Linked DNA regions of Arabidopsis thaliana. The protein of the gene in region 3 interacts with the protein of the main gene of each other region in a pairwise test. Each region holds a gene or a part of one and is shown on either strand. Other genes may lie near its edges.

The links.
Region 1: the proteins of BCA4 (region 3) and HCF136 interact in a two-hybrid assay, tested with the Arabidopsis thaliana proteins (one large-scale study listed by BioGRID).
Region 2: the proteins of BCA4 (region 3) and CXIP1 interact in a two-hybrid assay, tested with the Arabidopsis thaliana proteins (one large-scale study listed by BioGRID).

Annotation. Positions count from the first base shown.
Region 1 is NC_003076.8:7,776,104-7,781,563, reverse strand, and holds HCF136 (photosystem II stability/assembly factor, chloroplast (HCF136)), read right to left. Parts: upstream 3,548-5,460; 5' UTR 3,480-3,547; coding exon 3,080-3,479; intron 2,991-3,079; coding exon 2,755-2,990; intron 2,663-2,754; coding exon 2,532-2,662; intron 2,420-2,531; coding exon 2,287-2,419; intron 2,019-2,286; coding exon 1,896-2,018; intron 1,601-1,895; coding exon 1,526-1,600; intron 1,441-1,525; coding exon 1,325-1,440; intron 1,168-1,324; coding exon 1,101-1,167; 3' UTR 657-1,100; downstream 1-656. Other genes in the region: AT5G23130 (Peptidoglycan-binding LysM domain-containing protein), read right to left, coding at 1-89. UniProt on the Arabidopsis thaliana protein: Essential for photosystem II (PSII) biogenesis; required for assembly of an early intermediate in PSII assembly that includes D2 (psbD) and cytochrome b559. Has been suggested to be required for chlorophyll a binding.
Region 2 is NC_003074.8:20,340,707-20,344,229, forward strand, and holds CXIP1 (CAX interacting protein 1), read right to left. Parts: upstream 1,759-3,523; 5' UTR 1,666-1,758; coding exon 1,144-1,665; 3' UTR 651-1,143; downstream 1-650. Other genes in the region: LHCA1 (chlorophyll a-b binding protein 6), read right to left, coding at 26-216; AT3G54910 (RNI-like superfamily protein), read right to left, coding at 2,261-2,527, 2,655-2,795, 2,858-3,523. UniProt on the Arabidopsis thaliana protein: May only reduce GSH-thiol disulfides, but not protein disulfides. Probably involved in the regulation of the redox state of the BOLA proteins. May act as Fe-S cluster donors to Fe-S cluster-requiring proteins.
Region 3 is NC_003070.9:26,533,313-26,540,556, forward strand, and holds BCA4 (beta carbonic anhydrase 4), read right to left. Parts: upstream 5,126-7,244; 5' UTR 4,805-5,125; intron 4,181-4,804; 5' UTR 4,146-4,180; coding exon 4,092-4,145; exon of another isoform or gene 3,206-4,091; coding exon 3,141-3,205; intron 2,871-3,140; coding exon 2,730-2,870; intron 2,384-2,729; coding exon 2,335-2,383; intron 2,090-2,334; coding exon 1,973-2,089; intron 1,893-1,972; coding exon 1,839-1,892; intron 1,443-1,838; coding exon 1,354-1,442; intron 1,206-1,353; coding exon 1,100-1,205; intron 1,023-1,099; coding exon 855-1,022; 3' UTR 512-854; downstream 1-511. Other genes in the region: AT1G70420 (DNA ligase-like protein, putative (DUF1645)), read right to left, coding at 6,528-7,244. UniProt on the Arabidopsis thaliana protein: Reversible hydration of carbon dioxide. Together with BCA1, involved in the CO(2) signaling pathway which controls gas-exchange between plants and the atmosphere by modulating stomatal development and movements. Promotes water use efficiency.

The DNA.
Region 1 (5,460 bases), on a different chromosome or scaffold from region 3:
TCTACGAATCCATAACCACGGAATTTTCTATTGCTAAATTCGAAACTCCCATTGAAACCAGAAATTCGCCTTCCTCGTTCCGTCAACATTGTTGGAACTAACCTATTTCTGAAACTAGATCTGATCAAAAATTCTCGGATTCCGGTAAAATAGAAGAGGAAAAGGGGAAAAAGCGAAAACGAGAAACGAGGGAGAGACGTTGAGAGATTGAACAAGAGAGGTGAAAACTCGTGGAGTGAAATGGAAGGAAATTTTCTCGTAGATTCAATGTGAACTTTTTCTCGCCGGATTTACCGGGAAAAAAACGAACGAGAGATCTCTTCTCCGGTTCTCCCTCTCGTCGCCACCGGAAAACGACACACTATTATATATTTTTCTTTTTTCGAAGAATAGAATTAATTATTATTAATGTTCAAAACAAAAACCGCGTTACAGCTTATCCATAACGAAAGCAAAAAAGAAAAATGATCAGATGACAAAAAAGAAAAGAAAAAAAAGTTATTCAAAAATAAAATAAAAATAATATTAGCAAACTAAACCAGTTTAAGTTTCATTAGGTTCAATTAGGTTCAACTGCGGATAAAGTGCAGTGCAGTTCAAATAATAACAAAAACATATATATGCAAAAACATTCGTTACTATTTGAACCGCACCGCATTGTTCGGTTCAGTCACCGTTCCACGGACAACAACCCACCGCATACCAAATTTATTTATATGTAGTAATTGACAATTTTTAAATAGTAAATAAAAAGCGGTCTAATCCACAAACGGATTTATCAATATATGTTTCTCTTATGAATTGACAATAAAGTGAGTAATAAAATCTCTGGCGAAGATTTCTTGTCATCTTTCTTGGTTGCCTACACAATGAAATTTCTTGGCTGAAAATAGGTTATAAACATACATAGATGAGATCAAATCCAACTCCAACTAACAGTGAGAAACAAAGCTTTTCAGAAGAAACACAAAATTATATATATTTTGTGAAGGGAATGTATACAATAGTGTAATGTAGTATTAAAACGCAGTTAAAGGCTTTACAGAGAAGGATTGAAACATAACCATTTCAATTTAACCTCTTTTTTATTTTTAAATTCTTCAGCCAACATATCGGAGCAAGACTCCATCGTTGCCAAGCACAAATCCTTTCTTGTCATCCACAAATCTGCAACAAAAAACAGACAGGAATTGAGAACTGATTAGTTTGTTCGTTTATGCTAAAGTATTTGAGATTTGAGATGAGATGAGATGGGTGGGAACAATGATGGTTCCCAATGATGGTATTGAAGGAGTGTGTTTTGATGTTTGAGTTAGAGACTTACTTGACTGCGTATAGGTTAGCTGCGATATTATCAGCAGCTTTGTCACGGTTCCATGATTTGCCTCCATTTCTTGTTCTCAGTAGTATGCCACTGCCTCCTGCTGCCCATGCTTCTTCCTGCAATACCCAAAAAAAAAAAAAAATGGTGTAAAGATCGGAGCAGATTCAGAGTTTTGAGTGATCATCGTGGAAACTCATTTACCTCTGAGCGATATCCAACATCTAGAATGCCAAAGCCACGGCTTTGTACTGGAACTTCTTCAAACTCCTCTGTAATCTGAGCAATTATAACAGAGGAGATCAAAATCAGATGCAGTTGGAAGTTGAAACATTGGAAGAGAATTTAAATCACAAGGAAACAGTTTTTTTATTTTATTTTCCTTGTTATTAGTCCAGGGAATAGCAGATAACAAAAGAAAATTGTGTTTCTTAGTTCATGGCTAGATTTGGTTTCATCCTCTAAGTGGCAAAAGAACCCAGAAACTCGCAAGTAAATACCAAAACGAGAAGAAAAGGAAATTTTCAGAGAATAAAACTGCAAGAAGTGAGGAGAGTCTTGCTGCTGTACTTACCCCAGTACCTTTGCTAAGATAAAGTCCTCCACCACGAACAAGAAGCCAAAGACCACCATCAGCTCTCCATCCCATGTTCTGAATTCTTCTAGCAACAGCTCTATTGTGTGGTTGCCAGTAAGGCTGCAATATACCAATACTATGGTGAATGACAGTCTAAAGAGCACGCAAACCACACACAAGAACAAAGAGAGGGATTGGTAGTCCCTTGTAAGACACATAATACCGTTTACTTAGACAAAGTACTTTTTAATCAAAATCAAAATCAGCAATAAGACTGAGCCTAAGCAAGTGCTAAAACTTCACCTAGCTATGTCATAAAAAGGACTAAGAGTTCAAAAGCAAACCACAAGTATAAATGTATTTCTTCATAGCCTTAATTGAGTCTCACCTGCCCAGGCTCCCATGTCAGAAAGAAGTTACCACGGCTCGAAACAGCGACATATCTTCCATCAGGTGAACGATTAACAGCACTGAAAGTTCCCGTGTAGTAACTAGCACCACTGATTCCACTGGATACTGTTCTGCAAGACCATAGGAAATACTGAATTAAGGTCTACTCTTTGATCTCTATTGAATCTGGATGGAAAAGACAATGCCAATTCCCTAGTATAAACCAAAGAGAGGGTAACGAACCTGTTCAAGGTAGCTGAAACAGTTTCCTGAATAGCAGCTTTCCAGTTATATCCCCTGTTTGAAGTAACATAAATAGCACCTTCATCAGTAACCATCTCTGCACTCTTATCTTCTGTCGCTTTTATAAACACCTACAACAACATTTGTAACAAACACATTCTCATAAACAAAAACAACAACAATAGAAATCTCTGAAAACACCAGAAGAAACAAGATATAATACCATATCTCCAGGAAGCTGAGAACTTAGAGGAATCCTATCCCAATTCTCTCCAGCATCAGCAGTGTACAATAAAATCGCAGGTTTGCCAATAATCCATCCTTCTTTGCCTTTAAAGCTAATCGAATTGAATCTATAATTGAAATCTTCTTCTTCAGCTGAAGGAATCGAACGTGGATTCCAAGTGCTTCCACCATCTTTAGTCTCTAACAAAGTCTGTCTCGTTCCAAGTAAAAACCCTAATTGACATTTCAAGCAAGAATCAGTAAGTAAAACAATTTCGAACTTAAGAACGGAAAATTAAAGAAGAAGAAGAAGGAGTAATTACCTCGGCTAGGTTCGTCGGGGACGAAAGCAATGTCGAGAAGAACAACACCGGGATCGATTGGGAGAAACACTCTTTCCCATTCGGATAACTGTTCATCAGCTCTCGCTGGTCCAACAATGGAAGAAAGCGAGAGTGATACAGCTGCCGATTGGTACAGAAGCTCCCGCCGACTGAAAGATAAGGATGAAGAGGACGATGATGGTGATGGAGATGGAGGAGGAGAAGATGAGGCTTTAGGGATTAGGCGATGAGAAATGCGTTGAGAGAGGAATCGAGGAGAAACAGAGGGCTTGAAGAGAAGATAACCGTCGCAGAGTTGCAGAGACGCCATTGATGTGTGTAAATGTTCTTCGATCTCTCTCACTCTCTTCTCTTTCTCTCTCCCGCCTCGAGAATACATATCCTTTTGCTGTGGTTATCTAACGTCTACGTAGTGTACACGTGTCGTTTTATTATTGGTGTAATTGTTTCTAACAATCATATTTTAATTTACCTTTACTTCCAAGTTTTGAGTATATAAACTCAAATGTAATTATTTTCACGTTGATAGGGTTTTCTCTCTCTTCTCTCTCCTCATCTTTCAGAGAGTTTCAGCTTTTTTGGCCAGCAATGACTGGCTTTATCAGCAGTGTTTGGTCGGCTTCTACTCCGGCATCGCTGGCTTCCTTAGAAGCGTTGGCTGGCTCAGCTTCCGGCATCGACCGGCTACTTTTAGCGGTGGTGGCTGGCTTATCTCCCGAGAGCAAGATACCCTCTTTCTTGTTTCGTCGGGCTTTTCTCCGGCGTCTTTAGCCGGTTTTTTCTCCGGTTTTTTGACCGGATTTAGATTTGATTTGTTTTTTTTTTATCTTCTGCTTGTAGTTCAAAGATTGATGAACCCTAAGAGTTAAAAAGATGTTGATTGAAGAAGAAGAGGAAGAAAAAGAAAAAGAAGAAGAAGAAGATTTGCACTTCGTGGAGTCAAATTCTCGTCCAAGCTACAACTGAAATTTCGCCATTAATCTTTTGAGCGACGAGTGAGCTATGCCAATTAAACAAGTTTTCCGGTGTTTCGGCCGGAATTGAAGCTTCTGACGGCGACTCCCTTCTCTTCCAGTTCCTATGTGTCCTTCAAAATGTTTCCCACTGACACGTGTTTTCTATGCGGCGCACAACAATCATTTGTTCTCTTCCTTCAGTTTAGGGTTTATTCATTTGGGCTTTTGGGCTGTTTTTTTTTTTTTTCTTTGGGCTTGTTTATTTTAGTCTTTGTGAATTATTGGCCTGTTACTTTTGGCTCTATAATATCAATAAAACACACTTGTGACAAAAAAAAAAAAACTCAAATGTAATCATCTAAATTTACTAAAATATTTTCCTCCTTGATTTTCTTCCTTTCTCCCTGGTCATTCTCAAATTTTTAACTACTCAATCCTTTTGAGTCATACTTTCATCTTCATCATTTTCACTGTGATGAATCCATGTGACATTTTTTCCATTATCATACATAATCCAAAAGTCTCTCCTTTGCTAACATCTTTTTCTTTTAGCATTATATGCATCACTAAGAAAAGATAAGAAATAAAAGATTGAACGCTAAAGGTTCAGACATTCATCTTTGTCCGTAATTCATCTTGAATCGAGAAAGTAATAAGATGATTAAAATTAATCATTACAAAATTTGCACAATTCATAGTCTAGTAAATCTAAGTATGTCTACAAAGCTCTTATGAGTAGGAAGAACAAATCATACGAAGCAAGACTTGATATGACTCCAATGAACAGATTAAAAATCCAGAAAAATAGTTTGAAATAATTTACTTATTTATGATATGAAAAGGTTGCCAACTTAGTTTTAAATTATGAAAAGGAAATTCACAAAGGAATACAGTAAAACTTCTATAAATTAATAATGTCGGGAACGTGAAATTTTATTAATTTATAGAGATATTAATTTGTTGAATTATTAATTTATAGAGAGATTTGGTTAATTTGTAATTTTTTTTAACTTTCCTATATGAAAAGAAGTTTTATTTGTCATAACCAACATCTTTTTAGATACAAATACAAGTAAAAGAACATATTCTCTTTTTTTAAAAAAAGCACAACTTTTTTTTATACAGTAAACATATTAAAAATGAATATTTGATCAAAACTTAATATTATTTAAGAAAAACAAACAATACTAGAATCATATTTCACTAACTTTTCTTACATATACATAATATATTCTGATAAATTTATAAATTTATTAATTTATGATATTGATGAGACCATATGCTTACATATGATTGGCAAGTCTCTCTATCACAACGGTGATCAGCTTCTCCGGAAAAAAAAATTATTCCTACAAGCATTGATGTAGACAAACCAAAAATAGCTATGGATGGTGTCTGGAGCTT
Region 2 (3,523 bases), on a different chromosome or scaffold from region 3:
CAGAGTAAAAGGGTTCGAAGCGTACCCAGGAGCAGAACCGTCAAGGTAAGCTGGTCGTGGCTCGCCAGGCATCCAGTGAGCAGCCATTCTGATACGACCAACATTCCCGGCGTTTGGGAGTGGAACTCCGGCGGATACGAATTTAGACTTGGAAGAAGAGAGAAGCGAAGGGTACACGGCGGCTATGCCACAGCTCATAAGCGAGTTCGACGCCATCGTTTCTCTCTATCTGTCGTTGTGTTTGCCACCAAAGGAGAAAGATGTGGACGAGAGGTGTTTGGTGGAAGTGTGAATGTGGGAGACTGATCGTATAAGTAAGATTTGTGAGATGAGAATCTAAAACCAGATTGCAATTGGCTATACAGAGCCTGCGTGGCTTTTTCATTGGGCCACGTGTCTTCTCGATATCATGTTCTTCTGTTCGATATCCATCTGCACTATGTGGTTCAGATAAAAGCAGAATCTACGTATATTACTATTTTGCCATTTATCCACTGCAACGAGATGCTATCAGATAAGTCTTCCTGTTCGGTGAAACACATTTCTACTAATGTTTTAAAACTTGACCCGGACCGGTAAATCTGCGATTGGTCATGAATCCGGTCTGGATTTATTGCTAAGACTGGAGACTTATCAAACCGGTAAAACTTGGATCAACGAACACATGCGAGGCTAAATCATATGTCTTGAAAGGAGTATCTAACAAACGATACATTTTGAGACAACGTGTTTAGACATTGAAGTGAGACAGAATACCATTTGCAGACACACTGTACCGGTGAATGTTCAGAATCTTTGGAACTAAGTTTCTTTAAATTGTATCTCAATCAGGATATGAATGAGCATAACAACCCATGACTTCATGTCTCTTAGTCAGAAACAAACTTAGATTCTACTAGCACTACTTCACACATAAACCTTTCAACAAACAACACAAATTTGCAGGCCAACACATATGACAAAGGAAACTCAAATTCCAAGCAACTCCAACTGTTGTATACCTAAATCCATCATACAATATATGTCTCTTAATGTTACAACCACAAACTCTGAAACATCAAAATCACATTTTTTTTCCCAGGTGATAGATAGATAGATAAGATCAAATTCCATCATCACAAAAACCAAGTATTGAAATCAGGATCAAGAGCACATAGCTTTCTCCACCTCTTCCTGCAATTCTCCAGTCTTAAACGCCTCAAGAGTAATATCACAACCACCGAAAAACTCACCGCCGATATAAAGCTGAGGAAACGTCGGCCAATTCGAATACTCTTTAAGTCCTTGCCTCAACATCTCATTCTCCAGAATATTCACATCTTCGAAAGGAACATTCAGATTCTTCAAAATCTGAACCACAGTGTTGGAGAATCCACACATCGGGAAGTCTCTCGTTCCTTTCATAAACAGAACCACTTTCTCCGAATTCACCAGTTTCTCCAGCGTGTCTTTAAGTTGCGGCGTAAGAGCCGACGCTGAGCATCGGAATTTAGTTGGTTTCAGCTTGAGATTCGAACCGTAGAACGATAGCTGATGGTTATGGACGACGAGTGCCGACGTTGGTTTAAGAGAGAATCTGATAGAGTGAGGCTTGTTGGTAACGGAGGAGGAGACGACGGCGACCGAAGTTATCAAGGTCGGCGTTTTGACAGATCGGAGAGCCATTTTTGACGACTTTTAGATTTGGAATTGAGAAATTGAAAAGGTAAATGATTTATGAGCCACAGACACTCAGTGCGAGTGAGAATTGAATAAACCATGTTGCCAAACATCACCACTAAGCCGGTAGTGCATGTCATAATCATGGGTTTAAAAATAAAAATTAGAGGACATTCCGGTTCGGTTTGGTTCGACTCTTTAGATTCCGGTATTTTAGATATTAAGAAATTGGTTGGTTCCACTTGGATCGTATTAGTATTTCGGTTTAATAATTTTAGAGAAATTATCAGGGCATCAAATGCTTTTCAGTTTTTCAACACAGAGCTAGTTCTCTTTTCTTCATTCACAAGGTATGTATATATCTCTACACACCTATAAAACCCCATAAACGATTAAAACTTATCATATAACTTCTCCAATCAACATAATTTGTTTTTTGGTGGACAACATATAGAATAAAGTTTTTATCACATACAAAAAAAACGGAAAACATAGAAAAAGATGGTTGACGAAAACAAATTTTCAGGTTGAAGACAAACCATACGAGCCCGGGGACATGGAAGAACTGAAGAACAAGCTTTGTTTTGGTGATCAAATACTCTCAATCAAACACGAGTTGGCATGTTGTTGAAGCTCTAGAAGAAAGTGCCAACTCCTTTAACATGTCAAATCTTTCATCATCAAAAACACATGACTTGATTGTTGTGGTCTTCAAGTGAACAGCGTTCTTCAAGAAATACACTGCAAGATCTCTCTCTTCTGGTGTTCCTCTATATGCCGACAAGTTGAGAGTTTGGAGACTCAACAACATACATTCAGGGACAGTACTTGGTTGATGCCAGTAAAGGATATCATGATTCTCATGATACTGAGATCAAACAGAAGAAGAATTACAGATCAAACAGAAGAAGAATTACAGATCAAACAGAAGAAGAATTACACTAAAACCATAATGTGCATCAGACAAGAAAAAAGAGTTTGACGAACAAACTTACATCCATTTCGGAAAGGTCTAGTGCTTGTAAGTTAGAAGAATCTTTGAGCAGTCGGACAAGTAAATCCGACGAATGCCCTTTGCATCTACATAGCTTCAGATGTTTAAGCTGGTTGAAGACAAAACCTCCATCATACATAGCCTGCGCAATATTAAAAATTATCAGCAAATGCATATCTAAACAATGAGTTGAGAAAATGATACCTGTGAACATATTGAAAGACGCTTGACAGATGTGATTGATCCAATAAGACTCTTGATGCTATGTAATTCAACATCTATATCTGCCTCTATCAGGTTAGGCATATTCTTAACCAAACAGTAGTGACTCTTACTGTTATGGTCTATAAGTTTAAAATACTTTAAAGAAGGAGTTTCTATCACAATCCCATCGATCTCATAAGAATGAGGTATAAAGAGTGATAAAATCTGCAAAGATGGGACAACAACAGTTAGCTTTTCCATGCTGTCTGACAAAAGTAAATCCACCAATAGATCTTCAAGAACAGGGCAGTTAGATAGAAGCCGATGAAGAGAGTCTTCATTGAGGTATCTCACGCTGTGAAGTTGCAAAGTTTTCAGAGAGGGAAGAAATGCCATTCGAGGAACATCCAAGCGAATCTCGCCACAGAGTTCCAAGATCACAAGCGATTTGCAGGTATACAAGTTACTCGGCAATATGTTTGGCTTCTCCGGATATGAAGAATAAATAACCTCCAGCTCACGCAGGCAGTGAGAAACTGCTATAACAACCCACATCTTGATATTCTCAGGTGTGCATTTTGAATCAATTAAGTAAAGACGGAAGCTTTCTATAACCGGAGCTCTATGTAATGGCAGATTTTTGTCAAGAAAACACTCCAACCTCTT
Region 3 (7,244 bases):
ATATCAAAACAACTGGTGAAGAAACTACGATTAATGAATGAAATAGACAACTTCAGAGAGGTGTTTGGTTAATGAAACGCTTACCGTAGCTTCTTCAATTTGGAACGCAAAAGTTTAGTGATTCTCTTGCAGTTAGATTAAATGGAAATAGAAATCATCATCGTTCGGCAAATCCCTAATATATAGAGAAGTCAATAAGTCGGCAATCACAATTGGGCCAATTTAGGTGGGCCTTTTCGTATTTAACTTGGTAAATGGGCCTCTGCAAATTCCCGTTTAGGAATCATATCATCTTACTATTACTTTTCTAGAAATATTCTATTTACAATAGTTACTCTTTTGAGTTCCTTTACTTATTTTGATAAATACATTTATATAAAGAAAATTCTAAATCAACTACTTTTAAATAGCAAAAAGTTAATAATTTTTTTTGCAACAACAAAAAAAAGAAGCTAATCTAAAACGAATAGTCACTACAATTTCGTTCTAGGTAATAGATGGGACAATGATACCGTATAGAAGTTTTTATGTAATAAAATTGTAATGATCAATGGCTTCAATGCCAAGAAGTTTTAACAATTAACATACACATATAATCTGGAAAAAGAGAGAAAGAAGGAAAGTTCAAATCTTCGTTCAAACATCAATTAGACAAATATAGAAGTTTCAAACGTTGGTTACAGCTTTATTGTTTGAGCTTTTGAAATAGAAGCAGCAAAGTTGAAGTTTTGAATTAACAAAAAGAAATCAAAGAAGTTGGAGAGGAATCATCAACATGAGAGAATGAAGAAAGATGAGTCAAAGTGTCTTTTTTTATCTCAAAAGAGTTTTATATGTTCCGGTAGCTTTCTTTCTTAAGAGAAGGCAAAAGCAGGAGTGGTCTTGAAATCGAGCTCCCAGAGATCAAACGTTCCTTTGACGAAATTGTAGTGACCTCCTCTTATTGCAAGTGTGTTCTTCACCACCTCAGCTCTCACGAATGGGTACGAAAGCAAGTTTCCAAGCGATACGTTCACAGCTTCCTGCACAAGATAACACATTTATTGATAAGCCATTTCTCAAGAACATAAGTAAACAGAGCAAAGATAGTTATTATTACCTTCTCACACTTGTTGCATTGATCATCGTAGCTCAAGTCTTTATGTTCCTCCTTGATCTTGTTCCTCGCTGATGCGCCTATCTTCACCCAATTTTCAATGAAGTCACTGCCATTGTTTAGAGGATTTCCATCGTGTTAGAGATCGATTAATCTTATCATCTCAAAGACTCAAACTTATCCCACAAGAAAGTCATATATCGAACAATCTTGATTCACAACTCAGGCTAAATCAAGATTAATGAGTTAGTAATTACCTTTGAGTTGGGGCAGCATCATCTTCAATGGACATGAGTCCCTTAATACCACCACAGCAGCTATGGCCTATCACCAAAATGTTCTCCACCTACAAATAAATTGATACTATTAAAAAAAGTGAACTGTTGACTCTGAATAAAAAAGTAGTTGCAAGTTGATGCATTAAGACCCATTTCTAATATCGAACATTATCCAAAAATGATTCAAAAAAGATAATCCTAGTGGCTAAAAGGAAAAGGAGAACAGGGTTTAGGTGGATGAAATGGGTCCAAATAACAGAGTGACTAGACATCAACTTTTAGTAAGAACCATGTGCAAGCAAAAATGCATAACAACGACTTAAAATAATGAGCACTATGAAAAGAGCCAAACTTTGGATGATTACTGATAAGTGATAACTTATAAGAATACTAACAAAGTTTGCTTATTTATTAATTCAATCTAAGTGTCTATCCTTAAAAATAGGTATATTTTGTTCATGTACCTTGAGATGTACAACTGCGTATTCAACGGCGGCGCCAACTCCAGAGTGTCTCTTCTGATAAATTATCAAAACCACTTTGGTGTTAGTTATTTGATCTCAGACAAGAACAAGAGTGAAATGGCTTGGTAATGAACCTGGTCAAAAGGTGGAACCATATTGGCTATGTTTCTGACAACAAAAGCCTCACCAGGTTGGAAATTCAAGATGTGAGATGGACAAACTCGAGAATCAGAGCAAGCAAACACCAGAAACTGCCATAATCAAAAAAAAAAAATCAACATCATTTTCAAATTCATTAACTCTATAATAAGAAAGTGGACCATCTTTGGTTCCAATAATTGTTTTTGCTAATTCATAAAGTCAAACATCATCGTTGGATTATTAAAAAGCTTGTCACACTCTTTTGTTCGTATTAACCTATTTTTTAGGTATTAGTCAAAGAAGAAAATAAGTAAATGAACAGAGAAAAAGAGAGAGATTTGAGAAAAGCTAAAACCTTTGGGGTCTGAGTCTTGGCAAGATGATTGAACAAAGTACTATTCTTCCTGAAAAAAATTATGAACAGAGAGATTTCATCAAAATCCATGAATCAACCTTAAAAAAAATTCAGAATTTCTTTTTAAAAAACCACCTTTTTATGTTTCTGTTATTGCATATACTAATTGGAATATACCTTCTTAATACAATTTAATTAGCTTTTAATCACCTTTTTTTAGCACTATCACATGAATAAAAACAGTAATGCTAAGTGAATAAGAAAAAATAAAGGTAGGTTTATCATTAATGGACCACTCCACCGTCATGAAAATTCTTCTTTACAGAACAAAAACGAATTTAATTATATTCTTTTCCTTAAATAACGTTAAAAAGTTTAGTAATTTAAATACTTACAAATATTTCTCGGTTTTGAATTGAGTAAAACCGGTCTTGATTCGTTCAATTGCGTCTGAATTGCTTGAGTCAAGCTCCTTTAGCTCCGCCGTCAACGCTTTGATCTTCGCGGCGGCGACGTTTCCGAGATCCGCTTTCGTACTGTAAAAAAAACGCGGAAATGTGAAACTTTTTTCCCAAGGTAAGTTGATCCAACGGTCAGGATCTGTCGTACGTGTACGGATTCCAAAATGTTTGGTCATGAAGAAAACACAAACGCGCAAATCAAAAGAAAACAAAAAACTCTGATTTTTTTTTCCGATTCAACGCTTTGATTTTGGCGTTGATTATGGAGAAATTGTGGGAGGAAAAAAAAGAGGAATATGCCGACACTTTCTAATGATGGTACTATGAGTCAGAGAGAGTGTGTACCTGAGAAGATCATTGAGTCCTTTAATGGCGGCTTCGTACGATTCCGTTGCCATTTCGTCTTTTTCCTAATGAATACAAACAACAACAAGTAATTTTAATCGGTGAAATTTGACGATGTTGAAACATGAAAATTGGATCTGATGAGAGAAACCTTAAAGGATCACAAAAGCAGAGGAGGTTTTTTTTTTCTTTCTCTGGAGAGTAAAATCCTTATCGAAGAATGTGAAATCAGTTAATGCAGTAGTAGTAGAGATGGATATTGGTATTTATAGGCCTAGAGCTCTATTATGCCATTTGGTTCTACTCTTACATTTTCTTTTTTACAAGGGAAAAAAAAAAGAAACTCCACAAAAATGGGAAGGTTTATATTATATTAAAAAATCTTTTTGTGGGATGGTGATTTGATAAAACTATTTTAAAATTTTGGGGTGAAATGGTTTTGATTGAGGAGGAATAATTAAGCATGTGGCTGTATGTCTCGGTACTGATTAAAATGAAATTATAAACCCATTTGAATTTCCAAGTACATTTTTTTTATAAATGCAAATTTCATTCGAATGTCTACATTGACTAGAATAGTTTTTTTCTACCTCATTTGACCAAATAAATGATCTCGACTTGAAAAGTAAACGCAGGGCAAAAAGCATATGGTAGTAAGTAGTAATTTTTATTTTGGTGAAGGCAAATTGGTCTGCGTCTTTTCCGATAGGCCGGTGGCCAATGACAAAGCAGGATAAGTCAACCAAGGCAAGCCTTACAGGCTGACACGGTCATGTTTTTAACGGACTTGCCAGTTGGCATCTACGCGTCACCAGTTTACTTAATTATTACTTTCTCTATATACATTTCGTCACTTTATATACATACTATAATCTAATAATCCTCTCGAAGTTTCAAAAATAGCTTGAGTATTTTTCTCATAAGCAAATTTGAGTTGTTGCTGGGACTTACCGGGGAGGTTTTAGCGCAGCAGAACATGAAACATTTTCCGAATGCAGGAGCCATTATAAATGATCTCTTCCTTTGCTTCTCCTACCAACCTGTCCAGTCCAAACCCGTAATCTTATTATTACAAATACATCTAAAAATAAAGTATAGGAGTTTTCTCATTGTTACTTACAATCGACTACATTATTAACTACTCACGTCGGCATTCAATTTATTAAATTCATAACTGAATTATAATTTTATTATATTCTGAAGACTAATAATGCGATGGCTGAATCACAACAAATTAAAATAGATGGATGATCTAAATCCGGAATGGTTCTCTGACTCTTTAGTTCCATATATAAAATATTCCTTTATACATATTTTCAAACTTTTTTGGGGCTTAAAAATGCTCAAGTAACGCAAGCTGGCTTTTCATTGGACCGTAAGGTTCATTTCCATCAACCATTATTGTATATGACTATACTCATTGCCATGAATAATTCAAGTTTTATTCTATCATATTAAGTTCTAACGTATTTTGGGAAAAAAATGCTCATTAATTGTCAACAAACAAACCATACACTTCTTAGTTTTTCAAACATGAACTTGAAATGAAGTTTTTGTGTTCTCCTTTTAGTGTGGAAAAATGGATTCAGTTTTTTAGTATAAAAAAGGGTTTTGGTAATCGACAATAATTAAATTAAAAAGAAGATAAATTACGAATGAAATACCTAAATGTTAGGGGAAGAAGAAGCTCTTGGTAAGGCTCTTCCTAGCTCTTCGACAACCCTATGGACGTGGTAACAGTTTGAAGATGATGAGGCAGAGGATTTTGGGAATTGAAATAAGTAAACAAATAAATAAATAAAAATCTTAATTTATATGGGAAGAAGATTGGATATGGGTTTTTGGATTTTCGAGGTTTCAAGGAATTATGACGACCGTTCGAGCAATGTGGGGGTTTCTGTTATGGGATAGAGAAAGCGAAAGGTGAGTGAAGCTGGACTTCTTCTTCTTCTTCTTCTTCCATGTTTTTTCTTTTTATTTGTTTCTGCTGTTTATTTAGTAAAAATCATAATAAGACCTGTAAATATTTATTGACATTATGAGAAAACACTAAAACTATGCTAGAAGATAATCTCATGAGATTTTATTCTTTTTATATGCTTTCATATTTATTATAACTTGTTCTACTATTTAAAGTAAATTCACTAATATAACAAAAGTTAAAATCAAATTTCTATAACAGACCATTTATTACTTTTAATAATTATTTGTCAACAGTTCTACTAATTATATAAATTTTGTATATCTTTTGGATCTAAACTAATGTATGAACGAAGTAGTGATGAAATTATTATCCAAGACCTGAAATCTGTTTCGCTTCGAAAATTAGACTATATAAATTCAGATCAGGATAGCATAAATTTATGGTAATGTTGTAATTTCATGACTAGCCGTTAATAGGGCTTGCAAGTTGCACCTCTCATTCATGTAATGGACTATTAGATTTAAAACAACCCAAACCAAAGATAACTTTAGCGACACTACAAATTTTCATGTAATGGGCTATTAGATTTAAAACAACCAAAATTGCTAATTTTCACAACCAGTACTTTTTCTTGGGCTTGATGTTTCAATTCATGCCCCATTCATCAGCATAAACTCTCACTTGACTTCAAATACCTTTCGATGATGAATGGGGCATGACTATTTCTGAATGGTGTTAGTCACCTGGACCCGAATTATAGGCCTATCATTCTTACTTTGGCCCAAATATTTATCTGGCCCTCTTACATATAATATAAGCACTTTTAAAGCTATAGCTGTATGTACTCTTGTATTAGGAGGCATATTGAGTTTGGTGTGATGTATAATGTGTAATGTGTTGTCACTTGTCACTACCAATACAGGTTTGTACTTTTACTATGTTTAAATAATTTGATACCTAACTTAATAGTGTCGGTAAACAGAAGTTGTAAAAACTAAGCTATCAAAAATAAATGCCTCAGGAAATCATTTATAGCCATCTCTAAAAATGTGTGTTTACATATCTGCGGCCATCGTTAATCAATTAGATAGAGATAATATATTGCCTAAAAGAACAAGTTTTACTTTATTCCAGTAAAAAATTAATTCCTACTTTCAAAATAAAAAAAATAAAAAAATTAACGTGCGGACAAATTTTGATATACCAAAATATATTATTGACAAACTTAAATTCCAAAAAAGATCGATGAATCTTTTCTCTACTACTTTCAAAATCAAAAAATACTTTACATCAAAGAAGAAAAAAAACTAATCAAATGATACAAACGAAAAGTTAATAAGTAAAGTTTCACTTTTACTTACAAAAAGAAGGTTTTATAATACACAGAAACCAAAAAAAAGGTTAGATATATACAAAAGGCAAAGATTTGTCGGTAGAGATTTTGGTACGACAGATCGGTTTAATCAATAGGGATGAACATTTCTGGTTAAACCATTAACATTAGTGAAGAACCCAACATGTTTATACGGAAGATACGATCTTCGTTTCCCTTCTTCTCTCATTGCTCTGTTTCTCATATACAATTTCTCATGTGCCGATTTCGTTCTCATCTTATCCTTCTTCTTATCCGTCTTCGTTTTCTCTTTCCCTTTCTCCGACGACTTCACCACACCACTCAATCTCGCCGCCGTAGACGACGTCGACGATGTAGATGAAGAGCCGTTGCTTAAAAACACAAACGCATCTTTTCCATCACTGTTACTTCTCAAAACAAGATCTCTAAATCTCCATAGCTTTGAGAACCCTGTTGAGTTACTTTTCCGACAAGTCTCTGGTGATGCTTGCTCCACCGTACGATTTGTCCATGAACAATATGGACCCACCGTATCTGACTCTTCTTCTTCTTCTTCTGTGGTTGTGGATTCAACGAAGAGTTTCTTGAGAGGTGAACGTAAAGTTTTTTCCTCTGGATCATCGAAGAAAATATTCCGGTTAAACAGAGGATAAACCGGTCGGATCTGACCGTCTTCGAATGCTTCATCTGCGGTTATCGGTGAATTATCTGCGTTTACACTTGCGAATGAGAAATCTTCTTCTCTTCCTTCATCATCTTTATCAGTTCCGTTCTGATTCCACCATGAATCATCATCTCTGTTTTCTTCCTCTTTAGAACTAATCTT